2 linked regions of the Struthio camelus genome follow. The protein of the gene in region 2 binds, or shares a complex with, the protein of the main gene of each other region. Links are inferred from orthologs where the notes say so. Each region holds a gene or a part of one and is shown on either strand. Other genes may lie near its edges.

The links.
Region 1: the proteins of DIAPH1 (region 2) and PFN2 are in contact, whole or in part, in a crystal structure (PDB 2V8F), measured with the Mus musculus proteins. The link is inferred for Struthio camelus from reciprocal best matches to the Homo sapiens genes DIAPH1 and PFN2. Residues at the interface, in NP_031884.1 of Mus musculus: Ile635, Pro636, Pro637, Pro638, Pro639, Pro640, Leu641; in NP_062283.1 of Mus musculus: Ala2, Gly3, Trp4, Ser6, Tyr7, Asn10, Ala28, Tyr30, Trp32, Arg108, Met131, Tyr134, Leu135, Ser138, Phe140.

Annotation. Positions count from the first base shown.
Region 1 is NC_090950.1:33,983,005-33,994,389, reverse strand, and holds the start of PFN2 (profilin-2), read right to left. Parts: upstream 4,359-11,385; 5' UTR 4,139-4,358; coding exon 4,007-4,138; intron 2,936-4,006; coding exon 2,743-2,935; intron 1,007-2,742; coding exon of another isoform or gene 909-1,006; exon of another isoform or gene 698-908; coding exon 600-697; 3' UTR 1-599. UniProt on the Homo sapiens protein: Binds to actin and affects the structure of the cytoskeleton. At high concentrations, profilin prevents the polymerization of actin, whereas it enhances it at low concentrations. By binding to PIP2, it inhibits the formation of IP3 and DG.
Region 2 is NC_090954.1:22,032,791-22,043,979, reverse strand, and holds the start of DIAPH1 (protein diaphanous homolog 1), read right to left. Parts: upstream 5,250-11,189; coding exon 5,124-5,249; intron 1-5,123. UniProt on the Homo sapiens protein: Actin nucleation and elongation factor required for the assembly of F-actin structures, such as actin cables and stress fibers. Binds to the barbed end of the actin filament and slows down actin polymerization and depolymerization.

The sequences.
Region 1 (11,385 bases), on a different chromosome or scaffold from region 2:
AAAAAAAAAAAAAAAGACTTAAGCCTACAGTGAAGTGCAACAACAAAACTAATGTAACATTAATAGCTTTTGAGTGGCAAATTGGTTAAACAAACCAGGCACTATAAAAATAGGTTAAGCAAACAAAACGTGAATTAAAAAAAAAAGGAGAGGGAGAGAAGTAAAGATATGCATGCACTTTTTTCCTCCCACCCATGCTCTATGAAAGGAAGACTAAGTGAGCTGCGTAATTGCTCAAAGTGCTGAAGAGGCATTGATCAAATCAGATTGTACAATCGGCACCTTGTTTAGTATTTAAGTTGTTTTAGTTGTCAATACCACGCTAATTGCTAAGACAAAGCAAAGCCTAGACTTGGCGTATTCCCCTCCCAAGAGTTTTTCAAGGTATCATGCATATCATCATTGTGGTGCAGTAATGGTGCCAGATATGGGACTTGGTTACATACAGTGGTTAACATACAAATGAACAAAGGGTAACTGGAATTATGACATTAGAAAATGGGTAAATAAAAAACACAAACTACCATCTACAGTCTGGTAGCACTGAACACAACTGGGTGGTGATGAAGACAGTTGCTAGGTGGATGGGGAGAGGCTGCTTAGACGTCAGACCTCCTCAGGTATAAAGCCAGTTCATATGCTTTCTTGTTGAGTGTCCCTCCATGGACACCTTCCTTTCCCATGACTATAACCAATGCTGGAGTACACAAGGAAACAAAACAGAAATGAACAGAATTAAAGAAAAAAATAACACCTTTCCCCACCAACAAAGGGATACAAAGGAGACACAGGTTCATACCCCATCACCCTGCATTGCTAATAAAGTTTCCAGAATGTAAGGTTTAAAGCTCACCGCCAGGAAAGTTTAATAGCAATCTTCCCCTAATACTTAACAGTCTGCCTAGCAACTAGAACCCAGAGTCTCTCAAGTATTTTGCCATTGAGTATGCCTTCTTATTCAATCCGCCTCCATGGACCCCTTCTTTGCCCATTACAAAGACCAAGACTGAAAGAGAAAAGAAAAAAAGTTTTAAAAAGAGTGTGTTAGACAAGGAAAATAATGCAAGTTTTAGACAGTGCAATAAACACACTCAAATTCAAGTTTTAGTATTTGGGTATTAAGCTCGTTTAACAGGAGTTTTGTAAAAATACAGATGGTAGATGGGGTTGGGAGAAGGCATGAGTTATCCTCCAGGATATTACACAACTATGTAAGGCATGAGAGTCTACTGCTAAAAAAGATGTCAACCTGAAGAGCTACCAGCTATCTCAGAAGAGCATCATGATGCCTATCTACCATCAGCACCATTCATCATCAGCCAGCCAGGAAACCCTGGCTATGTTTTAAACGTACGGAAAAAAAGGTTAACAAAAGCGGTAGTATGTAGGGAAGAACTGTGATTCTGAAAAGCGGCAGAAGAGGGAACGTTCTTATCTGTAGGGGTCACTGCTGGCAAAAGAACCAGGCTTGGTAGTAGTAAAAAAATACAGGGTCAGACTTGAGCTAAGACTTGTGCAACAATACAGCTATAAAAAACACTTAACTTTTTGCACGAGATGAAGCGCAGAGAAGATTTTAATGCTGACCCTCTCTCTAATCCCACAATTTGGGTGATGAAGTGTCAAACTGTCTGGCAAATGAGAACACGCTAAGGTTCTTCAACCAGTAAGGCATCATCTGCAAGTTGCCACCAGATGTCACTAGCATGTATACGGCCACATTAAGCACTGTGCTTTCACAAGCACAATAGTTTTTTTCTAAGTTAGGAATAGTGTAATTGGAAATACTGCAGTCAGCCTACCTAAAGGTGACTGCACATCTCCATAGCAATTTGCTCACAAGAAGCTTAAGACAAACAGTTCTCATTAGCATTTCAGAATGCGCAGAGAAGATTCAGAACTCTACTTGTGTAAGGGCTGCCAACGTTCTTTGTGGATGGTCGCCACCGCGTAGCTTTAGCCGACAGACAAGTTTTGTGCTACCTTTTCGTACTTTATAAGCAAAAGTCCATTGCTCACCAATTTAGCCTATAGCTATCCAAAAAATTCTAGGCTAGATATTTTGAACACAAGCCGTACTACTTGTACCCAGTGTTTTGAGGGAAGATTTTTACATTCAAGTCCAGTGCGTTCCCAGTAACATGTTTTCCTGGAAGTTAAATGAGAAGCGCAAGGAGCGGTGAAACTAGCGTAAATCAAGCTTCTCAGTGATACCGAATTGGACAGGCCTTTTTGCCTGAAGACAGACTTCACAGAGCTCAACAGAAAGTGCAAGAAGAGTTAGTGTGGAACTTGTTAAAAGGCATGTAGAAGTAGCTCGCTCGTACAAGAAATTCACATCTTTGCAGAATAAACTTTCTGTTGAGTTTACAAGGGAAAAGCAAATTTCACTAGAAAGCATTAACCTATCCCTATGATACTCTATTGTAAATTTTAAATAGCAAGTTACAGTACACTTGGCAAGCTTACTTCAATCCATAGCCTACTCCTGCTTCTCAGAGGGGTGTTTTACCATATAGCAGTCTAGTGCCCAGCTATGATCACACGTGGGCAACCAGGGCAAGTGGAATTCCTAGGCAGAAATCTAGTTAATCGGCCAGACAGCAGCCATCCACCCACAGTATGTCACATCCTGAAACTAGTTGTTAAACACAAGATTTCAGGCTCCTTTCGTAGACTGAGCCTATGATCAGAGTCACGTTCTTAGTTCAGTGAACTGAAACCGAAGAAAGCGACGCTTACCTCGGCCAGCTCTGCCTACAGCAACGTTGTACGTTGGCTCACCACCTTGACTCTTTGTCCTGATGTCCATTGTGCAGTCGCCATCAACGTACAGGCTATCTCTGATCACAGAGCACTTCTTTGCACCAAGGGTCAGACCATTGGTGAAGAACCCCTCTCGGTCTTTTCCTACAATCATATCTATTTCTATTGGCTGTCGGAGAGAAAAGTCTAGCGTTAGCATGGTAGTACCTTACAGCATAGTCCCTATTTTAAAAGGGCCTTCTCTCTTGCAGGCAGGGTTAGGCAGTAAATCCCTCAGACAGCGCTCGGGAACACCGTGCTCGTTATTCACGATTCACGTTGCAGCAGTTTAGCGCAACTTAAGGACCGTTGTCCTGAAAGGCCTCGGAAGCTGCAGGCCGGCTCCCGCCCAACGGCGGCTGCGGGAGGGACGGGGGCAGCGCGGCGCCGCCGCTCGGCCCGCCCCCAGCGCCCGGGCAACAAAGCGGCTCGGGCCGCGGCGGCGGCGGGGCCGGGCCCGGCGCGGCGCCCGCGAAGTGCCGAGTCACGGCAGGCCCGGCCGCCCCAATCACGGCCCGGCACCGCCCGGCCCGGCCCGGCGCTCGCTCCCTCCCTCCCTCCCTCCCTCCCTCGCCGGCCCGGCGCAGGGCGGGGGCGCGGTGCGGTGCCTGCCGGCGGGTCGGCCAGGGCAGGCCGCGCTCCGCACGGCGCCCGCCCGCCGCCCCCGTGTGCGGGCAGCGCGGGCCGGGGCCGGGGTTGGGGCGGCGGCGCGGGCCGGGCCGGGCCGGGCCGGGGGGGGGGGGGAGGGAGGCAGCGATCAATGGCAGTGCGCCATCTTGGCGATGCAAAACATGGAGCCAGCGGCGCGGTGGGTATTCACGAACGCCTCCTACGCCGCGCACGTAAGTCCCTCCGCAGCGCCGGGCCCGGGCGCAGCCAGCGCTACGCAAAGCGCCCCCCCACCCCCCGCCGAGCACGCCCCGCGCGGCCTCTCCCGCCGCCGCCGACCGGCCCCCGCGGCCCCGGCCCGGCTCGGCCCCGCGGGCAGCGCGGGGCGGGACCCCGCCGCAGCGGGCCGCAGCCCCCCCGCCCCGGCCCGGCGGCCGCCGGAGCCGCAGACAAAAAAGGCAGCGGCAGCGCCCGGCCCAGCTCCCGCAGCGGCGCCGCGCTCTGCGGCGCGGGGCTCCCGCCCGCCCCCGCCGCCCGCAAGGTGCCCCCGGCCCGCCGGCCGCCCCCGATCGCCCTTGGCCGCCGCCCTCACCGTGATGCTCTGGAAGATGCCGCCGGCCGTGGCCGCCCAGACGTACTTGGCGTCGCAGTAGCCCACAATGGCGGCCTCCTGGCAGCAGCCATCGCACATCAGGTTGTCCACGTAGCTCTGCCAGCCGGCCATCTTCGGCGCGGGCGCAGCGGGCGGGCGGCGGCGGGAGCCGGGCGGCGGCGGCGGCTGAGGCGCGGCGAGGCGAGGCGAGGCGGTCCCTCTCCCTCTCCCTCTCCCTCTCGCTCTCGCTCCCTCCCTCCTCGGCGGCGCGCGACGGCGGAGCGGAGCCCGAGCGCTGCAGCGAGCGGCGCGCCCCAGCCCACCCGCTGCCGAGCCGAGCGAGGGGCGGGCGGGAGGAGGGGCGCGGCCCGGCGCCGCCCTCCGCGTCCCGCGGGCCGCCGCCGCCGCCGGGGGGGGGGGGGGGGGGGAGATGGGGGGCGGTGCGCCGCGGCCGCGCCTCCCCCCGCCGCCCGGCTCTGGCTGCGTCGCGCGGCGCCGTCGCCCGGGTCCGGCCCGGTCCGGTCCGGCCTGGCGCGCTCCGGTCGGCAGGCGCGGTAAGCGGGGCGGCGGGAGGGTCCCCGGGGCGCGGCGGGGGGGCCGGGCTGGGCCGCGGGAGCCCCCCCAGGCGGCGGCGGAGGGCGGGACCCGGTCCGGTGCGGTCCGGTGCGGTCCGAGCCGGCGGCTGCCCTCCGCCGAGGCCGGAGCTCAGGTCGCTGCCCGCCCTCCTCGGCGTTGCACGTTTTGTCCCGCACAGCCCGTGGGCGGCGGGCAGGGCTGCTGGCGCCGTGACGGGCCTTCGGCGCGGCCCCGAGCCGCAGCCGCAGCCGGGGCCGGGGCGGGCGGCCGTGACGCCAGGGCCGCCGCTGCCTCGCCTCGCCTCGCCTCGCCCCTCCCGGGTTCCGACGAGGTTTTGCCGAGACAATTCAGTTTCCGCGTTGGCGGTGCGGGTTTGATGCCTTGGCGCTCGGCCCCGGGCAGGCTCGCCCCTCACAACGCTCTCCTCCTGAAAACTGCAGGAGCGTCTGCGTGAATCGGGGTTTCAGGGCAATGGCTCGGTCCGACTTAAAATTCGGATTTCACAGGTCCCCTTCCTTTTGGACAGGACAGTTTTGCTTTGTTTGCTTTATCTCTTATGACTCCCTAGAAATGAAAATGAGTGGAGCGTGAAGTGGCTTTCCACGTAGCTTACTCTGGAGCTCTAATTCAAGCAGCTGGAGCTAATACCTGAATTTTCCAAGGCACAGAATACAATATTTGAATCTGGTTTTTCCTGGGGTTATCTCCCCCAGCAAGAATATTCACCAGGTATTTATAAGCAGTGTACCCTCTGCACGCCTGAGGCTGTTCTTACTCCCTTTAAACTAAACCCTAATTCAGTTGTCATGGGGTTGGCTGTTGTTTAGATGCTAACAGAAGCTGTTTTGATTATTTGATACTTACTGAAGAGCTTATTTTGCACCTTTTAGCTCAAATCTATAAGTATTTTTGCTGTTTTATGTTCACACTGCCTTTTCCCTACTGAATTTAGACAGCACCATTTGCTTTATGCTTTCCCATCCATCCATCCATGTGTCCCAGAAATGTCCTCATACAGTTGTACTTGCTAACGAGTTATGGGCTTTACATTTGCCTTTGGCCCTTTAAATAGCTAAAAGTTTTTGTGATGTTTGGTTTGCCTTCCTCATCTTCTCTCCCCAGATTACTTTCATGGGAAGAAGGAAAAGGCCTCTTCTGTCCGAACTGGCCATTGAGGACCACTTCTCTTGTTAATGTTTTCCTGCAAGGGCTCCTGGGCCGCCGCTGTTATTTGCACAGACGGAATGCATCAGTCTGAAAAGAACAAAAGGCTGATGGGTTTTTTTTTTTGTTGTTGTTGGAGTTGGATCAAAGTGCGGAGGATTTTTTGTTTATTTGTATGTGTTTTTGGTTTTTTGTTGCTTTTGCAAGCCGGAGTGAGAATTCCAGATTGTTCCACTTTAATAAGTGGATTTAATAAATAGAGAAGCAGGCACCTTATCACCCTTTGCCCAAGGGACAGGGCTTGGGAATTCCTGAGCTGCTCGTTTGTCAGCCTCGTTATCCTTTGATTAGGGAGGCTTTGCGTGGGCAGCAGGCTGGCTGGTCCAAGCGTGGAGGTAGAGGTCGCAAGAAGCTGCGGGTATCCAGGGCTTTAGCCAAAAGCTGCGCTGGCCTCTTGCCTGGAGTTACCTCACCTTCTTGCACACCCGTTCTGACACATACGGCCCTCCCTTCTGCCTGAGGACCGAGAATACCAATTTTCAGAGCGCTCACAGCCTGACGTCCTGTTTCATGGTAGATGGGGGCCAAATGGTGCCTGCCGTTTCAGAGCTGAACTTAGTCAGGAGAGGCGTGCTGGTACTTTAGCAGCCATGTGTCATGTCTCTTGCTGATGAACGGGAAATCGAGCCACTTCTGTTTTGTGCTGGAACCACAGAAAGCTGGAACCAGTGTTGTCTCTGAGGGCAGTATATTTGAGGGGGACGAGGATTCCTTTAGCAGACTCGTGAAAGCCCGTCTTCCCAAAAGCATGACGCATCACTCCCTCCTGGGTGAGTTCACAAGGAGGTCCTGCCCGACAGCCTGCTTCCTGCGAGCGCCCTCAAGTCCTCAGCAGCCAGGTGAGCCTGGTGCGAGTGAGGTGCTCCTTAATGATCCCTGGGACTCCAGCAGTCTCATCAGTTTAAAATCAGCTGATTTTAGTGAATCTTCTGCATAATTAGTCAAATCTTTCACTTGGATGTAGTTGAATACAGAGTGGTTCAGATAATCTTACCACTGCTTTGTGCAGAATATCCCTTTTTTAACAGCTGCAAAACATAGGTAATCACTAGTGTAAGTGGCACTTTGATGAAAGAGGTTGTGTTAGCAAGGCAGGGGGTACGCTTGTTTGCCTTTCATGATGGAAACAACTGCGCTGAGGCCTTGGATCTTCTGAGCATAAACGGATGGAAGGGAGTAGAGAGAGAATTTGCCACATACTCACTTGGTAGCTCAGCTTTTACTGGTGTGGTTCGTGGAGTAACGCTAGCAATGTATTTAGAAAGTGAAGTCTAAATTGGGTTACCACTATTTAATATTATGAAACTACAAGGTAGCTTGTATAAATCACAAATTTTAAGTCACCAGTACTTATATCTGTAATCATAATCCTCTAATTCTAATTGTACTGTGAGATGTCTGATTTGGTAGCGTTGGAAGTTATCTTACAGAATCATTATAACGCTGTTTGTGTTGACGCTTTTGCAACAGCAGCTTTGAGACTGTTTGAGTTAAGAAAACGGGGATGTGCGCCGTATGTTAAAGACGGCAAGAGAGAGGGGTTCCCGTTGTACTTTTTTTGTTACGAATTTTAATGAGAATGTATGACAGTCATTCAGGTTGCTAAATGAAGGATTATATAAAAATAAAAATGTTGTTAAAATTCATAGATATAGTGGGTCATCTTAATATCAGTACCTATATTTATGTGTTAAATGTTCCTATTTGAACACGAGCTATAAAATTAAGATGAGCTATAAAATTAAGATGAGCTAGTGGTTGCTGAACTGTGATTTCTTGTCTTTTCAGTCTCTTTTTACGTTCTGCCTGCTAGTCCCCCTTTTTGGAAGGTACGCTGCTGCCGCGTTTTTTAATGCAGCTTGTAACAATTGCTAGGGGTTTTTTGCTTCGGTTCAGAATGTCACCTCAAATTTTTATTGGATCAAACCTAAGAACAAATGCTTTTTTGAAATCATTTTAAAATGTAGACTGTGTACTATTTATAGCTTTGTAAAACGCCTCACTGCCTTTATATTAGTAACATAAAAGTTGAAGTTGGCCAAAACCTTGAAGAGGTGTGTATGTTTTGTAGGTAGAATAAGTTGCAGTGTTCTGTCAGGCTTTATAACTACCGCTGTTGCTGCCGTGCCCAACGTGGCTGGAGGGCTAACGGTAAGATTTCTTGTGATGTCCCCGGCTCTTCTTGTTTTCCACCAAATTCACCCATTTGGAGATAACTGTAGATGGCATTTATGTATAGACAGGAGGAGCAGGTGACCATCAACAGAAGGCAAGACTGACTTCACAATGAAAATTAAACTTTACAGGGCAAACAGAACAATATTGAAGAAAGGATTTCGATTTTTTTTTCTTTTCTAATACAGAATTCACTTAGGTACAAAATTTTCAAATAGAAATATTATTTTCAAGCTTATTGTGTTGCTGCTCTTAATTGAAAACTTAATCTGGGAAAAAAAAAAAAAAAAAACCCACCCCACAGATATAACCAGTCTACCTGAAACCATGGGGAAAAAAAAATCCACGTTGTGAGTTTCTGGTGGTTTGACTGTGACGTTTCATTCAGTACCTCTAAACCAACAAAGTTCATTCAGTATGTTCTTTGTCTCCAGTGTTACCAATTTTCGCATTAGTTTGTGGTACTGCTTTTGATACTTCCTCTCTCGACCGCATGGTACGTCCTGTGGCAGCCTGTGTTCTTTACCGCAAGCGCGCTCGGACGGGCAGAGGGTGGGACTGATTTAGCAGCGCGGTGCGTTAGCGGCCGCGGCGCCGCTGACGGAAAGCCGAGAAGCAGGGAGCGTCCTATCTTGTAATCTCATGGCGATAACCAGAAACCCGTGTTACTAGCGTGCTTCCCCAACTGATTGACTAACTTGGATGGAGAACGAGGAAGCCACCGAAGGCTAGGATGAGTCTTAACTAGAAGTATTAAATAATTAGTATTAGTAAATACTTAAATAGTAAAAATTAAATATTAATGAGTTGAGGATTAAAAAAATATGGTTATAGAAAATGAAATGAACATTAGATTGAGGCTACAATGCAAAGTTTTATTGCCTAGCTACATCTGTGCAGAAAAAAAGCCATATCCCATGTCAGCATAGTTATGATGGCACTAAAAAGAATCTTGTAAAACGGTGCTGGAAACTATCCAAGAGGTTCTGCGAGAAAGGTCTTTTGTTAGTACCTCTTCCATCGTTTGGAAGGGCAGTTTAGCTCCAAGCGCGGATGTCAGTTAAATCTCCATAGAGGAGTCTTGCCTGGTGTGGTTGTGCCAGTATAGAGTCTTTGCCTTTCTAGGGGTCAATGAGGTAAGTAAATAAGAGGAATTTTTCTTCCTTATCTTTTGTTTAGCCCTCAACTTCCCACATAAACCTAAAATGTAACTTATAAAAATGAATGCAAGGTTAGACATGCTTGCTGTGTCAGATGCTAATGGTATGAGGTTGCTTCTATTCAAGTACGATAGCTTTAAATCTGAGTAAGGACAACTCTTTGTGGATCTGGTTTATAGACTGTCTAGCCAGAGAAGTCATAAAGATGCTGGAAATGGAGCTTTGCTCAGCTTTTGGGCTTTTAAACTAAGAACTTGATTTCACAAGCGGCCAACACGCTATAAACATTAATCTGATAAATTATACGTTAAAAAATGTAGGTAAATTCTTACCTGGGCAAGTAGTCTCAGGTTCATAGTAGTGTCTTCAGTGAGAGTCCCTGTATGAGTGAGGCGTGCAGAATTAGGCCTGTATGACCCAGCTTGCTGTGTATTCGGATTTGTCAAGCACTCAAGTTACTTGGTGTACTTAGATCCTGCAATATTTTATTTTGCTTTAAAAAAATAAAGTAAATTGAACCCAAACTGATAGCCCTCTTGAGCATTAACTCTTCGGTTGTAAAACCGGAGGAAATTCAGTAAGTTTAAGGATAGCGTGGTACAGCTGAGGGAGGGGGGAGCAGCGCCAATCCAAGCTCTTTTGTCCAGTTACTCCTGCTGAAGCTCGTCGGTGACCCTTTACATGTGCTCGTCAGCTCTTTCAGCACTATTTCAGTGAGTGAAAGGTGGTATGGAATCCAAAAAGCGAAAATGGAGACTAAGAAATTCAGTGAGGGAGGTGGAGAAGCCTGAAGTTAGAGGGAGAGGAGACAGAAAGGAGGAAAACGAAACAGAGTGAGGGAGCACGGGTTCAAAAGACGATCATTTTTTCAGGGATATCTGCTCAGTGTGGTTGAACAAGAGTAGCTAACTGTTTTATTACTATGAAGTCTGTATCTCTGCTTTTTGTGATTACTTAACTGACCTCACTGAGAAATGTTGTTGGATGAAAAGGAACAATATCTGACTTTTCCAAGGCTTCGTCTCATGTTTTCTTTCAAAGTTGAATGGTATATGATTTTACCTTTTTAATAATTGGTTTGCATTTTTGCCCTGTGCTAGCATACATCTAAAGAAGACTTCTGCTAATGCAGTATTACACTGAGGTTACATTGCAAATACACCAGGGCGGTATGTCACTCTTCCATGTTTAACGTGATCAAAATGTCAGCAGCAGCATCCTGGCAGACGGTGTATTTGTCACAGTCTGTATCCAGTCGTGGCCTTCTGTGCGTGGTCACGATCCTGTTATTAAATTGACAAACCTTTATGTTCTTCTAGCTTGTAGTTTCCTTATGTGATTGTTTCTGTGGTGCTTTCTGCTGTTCCTTCTGTCTACCACGTGGGCAGCCGGGGAGCTTTGTTCAGGATGTTGTTTCCTTCATTAATCTTTCGTTCAGTGAAAGTACCTGTAATATGTCTATCTGGATTATATTTCCCCCTTCTAATCACAAATAATTTTACTGTTAATGCCTGTTATTTGTTGAAAACGTAAAAGATTTTCATATTACAGATACATAAATTTATCTGTTAACGTAATTTCCACCTTAAATAGTCACTGTCTTCAAGAGCACTTAATAACAATTCTGAAGCAAATTTTCCCAAATAAATTATGTAATTACAACATTCATCCTGCTCTGTGAAATTATGAATATATATTATTCTTGGAATGAAGCAGAAATGACTACAAGCTTTTCCTTTCAGTAACTCTTTTTTTAATTTAGTGCCGTATTTCTCTCTAGCCATGAAGTACATCATTCTAGCTATGAGCAGCAGTCAAAACTGCCTCTTGTCAGCTCACAAAAAAAGAGGTAGTACGTGTCTATTTAATATTTAGAAGACTTAATTACTTAAGTACTGCTTCGAGTTCTCTGGGTACCTAAACTTTCTGCCGCAGCTATCCTTGTAGTGCTTTTCTCTCAATTACTGTATTCAAAATTAATATTGCTTTTTATGAGAACAAGGTATATGAAAATTACTCTGTTCAGACTTACCTACATAATAACAAGAGCAGGTCAAAGGAAAGTTTAAAAATACATGTATGCGAATTGCTTGTTTAGAAAAGGTATACTTGGTCTGAAAGTCTTGCACCGCTGAACCATAGAGCAGCCGCTCTGCTGTGGGTGAAAGGAAACGTTAAGGATACACGGCTGGGAGGAACAGGGAAAAGAAGAATTGAGTAAAAGGGAAAATAGCTTTAAAATGA
Region 2 (11,189 bases):
ATATCTCAGTTACACAGCCTGGAACCAACAACACTCACAGCATCACCAAAGCCCACACGCACCATCAGCACTCCCTAGTCTGGGCCCTTTGGGGTGGCGGGGCAAAGGGGGGAAAATAATCTGTAAGAGAGGTTCCTACGGGCTCACATCACAACCACGTCCAACGCCAGCGGATAAAGCGTTTGCCAGGTGATGCCACCGGGACAGGGCTTTGGTAAGGGGGCTCTCCCCAGGGGCAGATAAGCTGCATCTGGCCCAGCACAGAGCAGCTGAAACCTCAGGCCTTTCCCGGGGAGGACTTTTGTGCCTAAGCCCAAACTTGTCTTCTCAACTAGGAGAAAAAGAGCTCTTAGATTATTTGATTGGAGCCTGATGGCTTGTAGTTTTTGCACTAATTAACAGGCTAAAGAAGGGGATTACAGCTTAACACTTTTCCCCCTCCTTGAAGACGACGACAAGGGTTTAACAGTCAGCGTTGCCTGGATAATCAGCAGCTGCAAAACCAGCTCATAAACTCCAAAAGCTGAACACTTACAGGATAATCAAAGGACTGTGATAAGCATAAACAAACCACAAACCTATAATCAAGATCCTGTTTAGTCCACTCTGAGCTAGTCTCAGACTTTGTCACTCCACTCCAGGCTTTCACATGGAAGAAAGAAGCTGCTGAAAAGCCTCAGATTCCAAACTTCAGCTGAACAAGACGTAAAAATAAGAGATTCCCAGCAGCTAGTACAGACTACGCTTGTGTATTTTGATAGTCAAGTAACTTCACGTGTTACATACGCTGTCAACAACATTGATTTTTATTAACTCATAAGTAACAGATTTTCAGATAATAAATCAGTCAGGTGTTACAATATGTTAGGCAAACAAACCCTATTCTGGCTTTCGACACACAAAGAGGCGGGGACATCGTTCAGGATCATGGATCATTCAGGATCATGGATCATTCAGGATCATGGGATAAATGTGTTAACAAAAGGAAGATGCAAATTTACAGCCAGACAACTTTCATTCTAACTTTAACTTCTGAATGCTCAGCTTAGCAGAGTTCAGCATTCATCCACAAATAACAAATCTAATTTATATAAAGACAATTTCCCACATACGACATAACAGAAGAAAAAGATATTTACACCTGTTAAAAAAAAAAAAGCAGCACCACTTTTTAATTAAGCCTCAGATGCATAAAATAAAAAAGTAGCAGGAGGTCAAATGAAAAAGGAAAAAAAAAAAACCAAGAGAACAAGAAACTTTTCATATTAATCAGCAATAGTTTAGTAAAAAAGAAAGCAAGGAGAACAAGATTTCAGAGTTAACTCTTCTTAATCCTAAAAACACAACAGGACTTTGCCTTGAAAGATCTAATAGAGACATATAAGGAGGACGTGTGGTAGGGTAGGGCTATAATACCAAACAAAACGCTTGAGACTTTTTCAGCCAGTTTCATCTAGTGTACTAGTGAGATACTTTCTGACCTCTCAGTTTATCTGAAAGCTACCAAAAGAAACTCCAGGTAACAGGTAGCTTGACAGATGCACTACCACCTGCACAAGAGGGTCTGCAGCACACGGCTGTCGCGTGGAAACGGGCTGTCACAGGGCCCCATTAGAGAGCGCAGCCCAAGCTGCAGGACGGCACCGTAGGGCTCCTCAAGCTCCGGATCCACATGCAAGACACATCCCAGAAGCGGAAAGCACGCGGCTACGCTGAAAACATCCAAGAGCCCAATGCTGAAGAGGAGAGATGAGCATTACGGGACAAGGCTTCTCCCCTGACAGCTCTACACTTCACGAGCACTCGCAGTGCGGGAGAGTTTGCAAACATCTCTGCAGACATGGGTCTCCTCTGAATCTGAGGTGCAGCTCCTCTCTCTTAACCATATCAGAAAGGATGTAAATACTGACATAGACCAGACATCAGACCTTTCAGATGTGCTTCAAAAAGCGTGGCTATAGAGACCTAATGAAAAGGTTGAAGCATGTAATAACAGTATTAAAAAGTGTTGCTGTGAAGAACAGTTACAGAAAACAGATTCAGAGGAAGAAAACCAGAAAAAGGAAGGAGGAAATTGGTCTCCCTCAGAAGAAGGAAACCAGAGAAAAGGAAGAAGAAATTGGTCTTCCTAGCTAAATGAGACAGGTTACAGCAAGAAACAAAAACAGATGCAAGACAAAGCAGAACCGAACACGATCTTGAAAGTAAGGTGAAGAAAAAAAAAATGGGCAAGTTTAACTATATCAGAGTTCTGAAGAGAATTACTTTCACTGCTTTCTAATATCACACAGGTGTTTCTCAGGAAGCTGCAACTGATGTAAACCAACAGCATAGGTGGACTTTTTATAACCTCCATTGTTCCCTTACGACGGGGGACAAACACAGGAGTTGCATTTTGGATAGAATGAAGTAACAGAAGAACCAAGGAGGAGGCTGCTGCAGTGAAGAGATTGGGAAGTGACCAAGTAGCGCACAAGTATATTAGTCACTAGGACAGGAAGGGTGGGTCGAGGTTTGGAAGTTGGGAAGGCGGCGGCAGCAGCAAGACTTGCTTAAAAGCCTGAATGCACTGTCAACTCCAGGAGAAGCAGCAGCAAACTGTAATCTAATAAAGAGACATGATGATTTGCACACTTAGAGCAAATTAGAGAGCATTAAGTTTGCAAATAAAATACCAATGACAATTGATTGCATCATATTTATAGCAATCAGCGGCCAAAATGTTATGCTGCAGAAGACAGAGTTCATATGCAAAACTGTGCAGTAGGAGAGAGGTGAAGATGAAGGAATAGCTAACTTTTGAGGCTAAAGCAAGCTTCATAAATATGTCACAATGTCATCTACCATATTAGGTGCTTATGCTATTTTCAGTCTCGGAGCAAGTGTTGCTATTGTTGTACTTCCTAGCTAGAGGTACTCTGTTTCCCAGCACATGGAAAAAGTCTTGTGCGTTAATTACTCTGGATTTCTGCTTAGCCAGCAGATATAAAAGATTAGCTTCTGAATTTGGAGCAGGTCACTGGAAGCCAGGAAACTGAATTTGTCTTCTGAAATTTTTACAAATAAAAAACTTACTACAGAAACTGAACTCTCTTCATTCTGAAATCAAAAGCAGTAAGGCCAGGTTTTCAAAGGTGTTTAACTTGCCAAAATTCCAGTGGGCACCTTTTAGCCTCTTTAAGTACCTACGAACTTCGAAAACCTGCCTTGTAGTGAGAAGACAAGAATCCACCTGTCACCTAATTCCAGTTCATACCTCCTTACTTAATACATTCATGAAAATCATATATCCAACCAGTATAATCAGTATGTTTTTTGTTGTTTTAGTTAAGACCATCTGAAACACTACTACGAGGCTATATAATCAGATTTAAACTACCGAACTCAAACTACCATAAATAACACAAAATAGTAAACATATTTATGTGCACAGTAATAATAAAGGAACAAAAATAGCTCCCTGCTGTGTAATCTAATAGATGACCCATATGGACACAACATATCCTTATGAATAGCAAAAAAGTGTCGTTTTATCTATGACAATGAACTTGCGTTAAAAAAAAAAAAAGAGTACAAACAAAAAAGAAGGTTAATCTCAGTTTTCAGATCTCCTTTCTACTTCTACGTTGAGGCAACAGCCACAAACCGAAACAGGAAGTTCCATCTGAATCTGAGGAAAAACTTCTTGACTGTGAGGGTGACAGAGCACTGGCACAGGTTGCCCAGAGAGGTTGTGGCGTCTCCTTCCCTGGAGATATTCAAAACCTGCTTGGACGTGATCCTGCACGACGTGCTCTAGAGGACCCTGCTTGAGCAGGGGGTTGGACTCGATGATCTCCAGAGGTCCCTTCCAGCCTTGGCCATTCTGTGATTCCCAAAGGAGAACATGTTTCCTTTCGGCAAGCTACATCCTGCAAACGCGTCAGTACACAAGCATATATCCAGACTGCAACAAAGAGAGGAGAAAGTACCTAACCCAGAGTCCAGTGGTATGCCAACAGGAAAGGTGAGGGGAAGACATGCATGTACCCTGCTGATGCCAAGAGGAACCCAATACTATTTCAAACTCTGAACAACAGGATTACTGCATTTTCACCTCCCATTGTTATAGCAGATATTTTGCTAAACCGCTACTGAATTCAGCTCCTACTGCATTTAATAGGAGCAGAAGCAGTCCATGAACTGATACGGAAGAAAAGCAGAGTGTAAACACTCCGTAAGTCATGCAGCAGTCAGAAGAGACGGAAAGGGATGCACCGATCTTTCGCTTAGCGTCGAGACTTGTAGTTGTTTCCAGAGTGCCAATACAGGTGACCCCCCTCCCCCGCCAAACTTCCCAACCAGCAAAAACCCCTAGTTGTCTCCAGTTTCAGCCAGTTCCTGATAACATCTTCAAAGCCGCTGCATACAGTCAGCGCAACTGATTAATCACTTAAGTGCACATCACCGCAGAATAACTCCCGCAGCGCGGCGAGCGCGGGCAGCGCAGCGCTCGGCAGCGCCCTGCGCGCTTGCAGAAAGTTCAGCGCAGGCGGAAAGCCGGACGGCAGAAACGGCTGCGGCAGCGGGGCGACGGCGGCGGCGAGGGACCTCTGGCCGCCACCCAGCCCAGCGCCCCGCTCCCGCGGGGTCCGCCACAGCGGCGGGCGGGACACCGCGTTCAGGCGCCTTTTGAGCATCACCAAGGCCGGCGGGGGGGGGAGGGAGGGGGGGGGGACCCGTTGCCGTGAAAACGAGCGACGCTCAGCGCGAAGCGGGGGGGCCCCGGCGGCCCCGCCGCCGTCGCGCCCGCCACGGACCCCCCCCCCCCCGGGCAGACCCAGACCGCCAGCGAGGCGCGGGCAGCGGCGGGGGGAGCCCGCCCCCCCCCCCCTTCCTCGGGGGGGAACAAACCCGTCAGCAAGAGAAAACCGGTCCGCTTCCACCGGGCAGGCTGCCACAGGAAAGTTGCCGCCCGCCGGCCGGCCGGCAGCGGAGCGGCTTTGGCCGGGGTTTCCTCGCTGCGGGCGGCCCCGGCCCCCCCCGCCGCCCCGCGGTGACCGCGGCCGCCCGGGCCCGGCACCTGCGGCAGGTGCGGGCGGCGGCGCCGCAGCCCCCCCCCCCGCTCCCGCGCCGCCACTCACGAATTTCTTGGACTTGCTGGGGTCGCCGGGCCCCGCCGCCGCCGCCGCCGCCTCCTCGGGCGCCGGGGCCTTGCCCCGCTTCTTGTCGCGGCCGCCGCCGCGGGCCGCCCCCCCGCCGCCCTCCATGCCGCCGCCGGCTCCTCAGGCCGCCGAGCCCGCGCTGCCCAACCGCCCCGGCCGCGCCCGGCCCGGCCCCGCCCGCCTCATCCCGCATGCAGCATCTCATTAGCCGCATGAATATTCATGAGCCCGCTTCCGCTTCCGCTCCGGCCCCGCCCACTTCCTGCCGCCGCCGCCGCGCGCCCCCTGGCGGCGCCCGGCCGCCGCCGCCGCGAAACGCTCTCCCGGCGCCGCTGGCGCTCGGGCAGCTCCGAAGCAGGGAGGCGGCGCGCCGCCTTGGGGGGTTCTTGCCCTACGCCGCTGTGGCGGCACCTGCTCTTTCATTCAGTCCTCTGGGGCCGGTTTCGGCTCGCTGGGGGACCTGCGGGAGGTTGCCAACGTTTTGTCATCGGGCCCCGTTTTCCTGCTAAGGAGGCTTTGGAAAAAAACCCACACCCGTGTCCTTAAGAATTAAGACATGCTAGCTCCAGCCCCACCAATATACGCGGTCCTGTTTGGAGCAGAAACGCGTCCCTAACTGCGGCGAGGGCTGAAGCGTACCTCTTCCCGGGAGCTCCTGCTCCGCCACAGAACTCCAGGTACGCCAGCAAGCCAGGGGTCACCAACACACCCCCTCCGAAAACGTAACTAGAACTTAATATACCTGAAAAATAACCTGGTACAGCAGACTGAGCAGCAGCGTGGCTTCCTCGGTGCTGTGCGTGAGGCATCCGTGGTGGCACGCTGCAGAGGATCCTCCTCTGAGGCCCTTCCACCTTCCTTCCTTCAGTGAACCCGCTTGGATACGGGAGGCCTGGCACATGTTCCAGTCTTATTTTCAGCTGGATGCTACAGCAATTCAGCAGCTTCTATCGCCATTGAGCCAAATTAATTAACAGGTAAGCATCTAAGTGGCGAGTACTGCCAATCTAGGCTTCTTTGCAAGCCAATTTTTTGTGTGGCACCTCGTTGCCGAAGAACAGAGTTGACGTGATAGCTTTCTGCGTCACAGTACTTCGGGCACCACTGGACTTGCTCAGAGTGGAGTCAGCCCCATCACGCACAGCAACGGTTGCTTCACCTTACGTGGGACCGCAGACAGCACCGGGCAGGACAGCCAGACTGTTTGTTCACACACGTGCTATCCGAGTGTGCCTGGAGCATCCCACTCGAGTGCTTTGAGGGTCCTTTTGAGGGTGCCATGTGGTTCACGCCACAACCCTTCTCTAAAGGCCAGTGATCCAAGTTCAGCTTCTGCAAGCAAAGCCCTTTGGGCTTTTTCTTATCTATTGTTTTTCTGTCACCAAAGCATAGTATTTCTCCCAACCTTTTTTTCATTACCTTCTGGAGGCTTGCTCCATCCATGTGGGCCTCGGGTTGTTTCTTTTTCAAACAAGCAGGCACAGGATATTTCAAAGGGTGCCAGGCTCAGGATAAAAAGGGTGCTTCTGCTTCAGGTTGGATTCTTCCAGCCCTAAGCGCCTATCCCTACAAAGCCAAAATAACTGCTTGTTCTGGGTACCCAAACTAGCCATGCTGTGTGTCCAGCCCCCAGGAGTCAGCGCACATGTCCCTCGCAGGAGGAGTTGAACCTGAGTATATAAGCACAGTTGCAGAAGCCTCACAAACCACCAGCTAGGATTATGCATGAAATTTTTCTAAAACACTGCTACTGCAGTGGGAGCTTGATCCCATCCTTGGAGTAACAACCACATGCATTCATTTCTAGCTAGCCTTTCTCTCCCGCAACATGATCTGTGCAAATACTAAAATAGAAATAAAGCAGAGTTACTCACCAAGGACAGGAACATCTCTGAATATATTCACTCTTCAGAGCCAAATGAATTCTTCTGACCCCTTCATCTAAGTTTCTATTAAATAGAACTGAGCTACAATGCAGTGGCAAAATCAGTCGCACCTTTTTTTGGCACCCAGCATTACATCCTGTTCCCATCAAAAGGTTTGCAAGTCACCCTGTAGGGCAGCATAGCTGCACCCGCGTGGGCATTATTCTGATAATTCAGTCTCTCAACACACATCTTTCCTGCTTAGGTCATAGTCAATATTTGATGCACAGCAGGCAAGCCTGAAACAAGCAGCTATTCAAAAGTGCATTCATCAAATAGGCCTGAATTTTCTCCTTTTAATGACCAGAAAATGCTTGTTTGCTTCTGTTCCATTTGCCCGTGAAATCACAGAATGTGCTCAACAAAACACAGTCCTGTCTCCTCTCCGAGAGGAGGGGGGACACTTCTAGTGCCCAACACCCATTTTCCCAGATTCATACCAGGCAGGACCACTCTGATATTGGCCAGAAAATGTTTTGAAGGGATAGTTAAGGCATCCTCTGCAACTAAAGCCAAGCTGCTCCTAGTCCCGGAGGTGCGCCCATGTTCCGGGCTCCAGCCTTACAGTCGCTATATGCTGCTCATGACTAAGCACTCTTCCTTTTGCTGCCAGTTCACTTATGGAGCTCCACTGACTTACCTTGCTTCCAAATGGGGAGCTAGTGACGTGGTTGCGGCCTCCAGGTTAAATTACATCATTCGCTGTGTCCAAGGGGCAGCTGCTAGTAGTTCAGGACAGGCCACCTTGTCTTCCCTCTCTTTTTGGCTGCCATAAGCATTAAGCACCTGCTCCAGTTACTCTGTTGGCTCCCAGTCATTTTTGGAAGAGTCATTTAAGGCTTTTGGTCTTCATTTTCAAAGCAATTAGTGAGCCCGGTTACGGCTCTATGAGAAGTCCACATTTCAGCTTATCAGCCCACATCAGAGCTGTGTTCCTCTGGGACGACTGCAGACTGCAAAATCTGAACAAAGCATGAGGCTGGCCTGTAACAACACATCCTTGGCCAAGGAGGGTCAAGCTCTGGGGGGAACTGTCAGACGGAGCCACAACTCTGTCACCTTTAGGAAACCTCCCAGATCAAGGGCTTCCACCTCAATCACAGAGACATTCACATCATCCCTACCTCTATTTTGAACAACTGAATTCAAAAATACAAAGGGAGCTTTTTTCCTGCTAAAATATAGGAAAGAAAATACAGCAAGAGAGGACAAAAGTACTCTCTAGGAACTTTGTGACTGAATTTTTTTCACCCTTCTGTGATCTCTGTTGCCCATCGATAACAGCAACTAAATGCAGTCAGTTGACGCTCACTGTGTACGTTATAAACTGCAGCTGTTTTATCTATTTGTGCAAGTGTTGGTTCTCACACATTTCCTAAAGATAAATAAATCTGGCTTAATTTAATTTCAGTTGGTACCAGACTATCCTGTACTTTATAAAGCAGCCTACCAGTCAATTTTGTGTTAGATACATATCATGACCCCACATTCAAGATGTGCAAGTTTGCCACCTTATCTAGTATATTACTACTGTGGATTTCACACTTGTCTTGTTCCTATCCACTTCAGTAGGCATCTATTACTGGGTGATGCCAGAGACAAGACACTGGTCTACATGAACCTTTGGTCTAATGCAGCTTGAGTAGTCCTGCAGTATCAGATGGCAATTTTAGTTCAGTTTCTCATTTCTGACAGCTCCGTTGCAGTGGGAAAATACAACTGGGAGGAAAAATCTCTACAGCCTGAATTTGTTTCACAGCCGTTTCCAAGAAAACCCATCAGAAACCCAGATAAAGACAATCCTCTGAATTTGCAGCCTTATTTCAAAACCCAGAACAGACAAGGATTCTGAAGAGGGAAAGTTTGAATAGCACAGGCTGTACAAGTGATGCATACCATATCACAAGGAGGAAAGAAAGCACTTACGTTTCTCTACTGTGGGAGGAATGGAGCCTAAAAAGGCTGCCAGGGGAGGGCTTATTATGGGATAGAAAGAGATGTGCGAATCAAAGTGCAGGAGGAAGAGCAATACAACTGAAAGCCCCAGAATTTGTTGCTTCTTAAAAGTAACAGAGGTACCTCAATGCAAACAGGACAGGTAATTTTGACTAAGAACTGGCTGTGGAGTTTTTGCGAAGTTTACAGTCTTCATCAGTAAGAGATGGAGCTACAAGGGGAGGATTTCCCTCTTCTTTTGAAGAAGCAAATATTGACTACTACCAGAGGTGAGAGACTGCATTCCTGTAAATCAGCTTTGATACAACTGATGACACCATCAGATGAAACAAGCTAGCTCTCTGATGATATCAGATGAAACAGGAACTGGAATTTAAAAAAAAAAAAAGTTATTTTCTGTTCAGATTCCAGTCTTTGTTTTTCAAAACTCTGGCCATTGTACTGGCATTTTGAGTCTTCTGATATGCAAAGTACAGCATGTCAGCTAAAGCACATAAGGAACACAAATATGATTAACCAAGCCTTAGGGTAAGCGCATAGCAATACTTTACAGAACATACATCCAGTGTCCAAAAATTTGTGCTTAGAAGTGTCTTTGAATTTAACAACCTTGGTCCTTTTTATTTTTTTTCCTAGTCCCTTTCTGAACCCACAGAAGCTTTCAGTATTCACAGTACTTCATGGCAAGTTGCACTGTCCATCTAGGTATGCACAAAACAACTTCCTTCTTTTGAACTAGCCACTTGCTAGCTTCTTTTGATGCTCCTCTAATTCTTGTAGAAGGAGAGATTTTCTCTGACGCTTATGACTTTATAGAACTTACAGATCATTTTCCAACTCAATTCTCTCTTCCCAGCTGATGAATCCTTGTCTACTGAGTCATTCCACATGCAGAAGCTGTGCTGCACCTTTCATCAGCCTCAGCGTCCTTCTCCATAGCTAGTCTAATTCTACTATAACCTTTTGGAGAAGCAAGGGCAAAATAGCACACAGCATGCAGGACATGAATGCACATCATTGCCTGAGATATCCTAAGCTGTTTGCCCTAGGACACTGGTCAAGTAGAGTGGAAACAACTGTAGAGAACCCTGCATGCAAAAATACTATTTCTCTAGGCACATAGCGGGAGTAACAGTGAATGACTGCCTGCTTTACACTGTAGTAGTAAAGTGAGCTGCAGCTCACTTGTGGCAGAGTTTTACCTCCTCCCCATAATCCTGAGGCCTTGGGCTGGCAGTTGTGTAAACAGCCTAACAGGAACAGGCGTAGCCTGTGAATACATCCAACCGACCCGGTCAAGTCGGTGTCTCCTTCTGGCCCTCACATCCCAAGTTACATACGCTCTGTTCAATGCTTCCTGAATCATATTTTCCTCTTTTACCTCTCCTGTTTTTCTACACAGAAGCTTTATTGGCAGTGGCTACTGTACAAAAAGTAAGAGGAATGTCAATCCACGCAGGCTCATGAGAGCTTACTTGATAAATGACAAATGTCATGGGCCTGGGGAGGGGCAATGAAGAGGTAGACAGTGGCAGGTCTAGGAACAAAGAGAAACAGTCTCTAACTTGGGCTTTAGGAAAGTGGGAATGCAAAGGGCAGATTCTTACGCAAGCTGCAACTCAAAGAAACTATGACATTTAAAACTATTATTGGAAAGGTTGCATAAACCAGCTTTGTAGCTTCCTGTAAAGCTTTTACTAGAACCAGAGGGATAAGCAGGAGCGTCTATCAGCCCACGGGACCTGTCCTTTTGTACAGGAATTCAAGACTCTCTCCTCATTGTGCACTGAAGCAGAAAACTCGCCGGCATACACTTAGAGGAGCTGAATGCCCTCCATTCATCTAGCAAACAGGAACTTTCACAGGTCAGACAGCAGAGGACACTACCCTATGATACATGTATTCTCAGTCCTCGACAGGCCAGGAGCCAAAAAGGCATGAGCATTAAATAGACGAACAACAGGTCAGGTAAGAAAAATACTGCCTCTTGATTTAATGTTTAAAGACATCAGTAAACAAACAGAACAGTACAGACAGTAAGAGGCTAAACCCCTCCCCTCACCCTAACAACACTCTCCAAACCGTGACAGATGCCAGGTGATGACTCAGGAGAGGGAGCAGCAATGTTTGAGATTTCAGGGATGGCGAAGAGAAATCTCTTCGC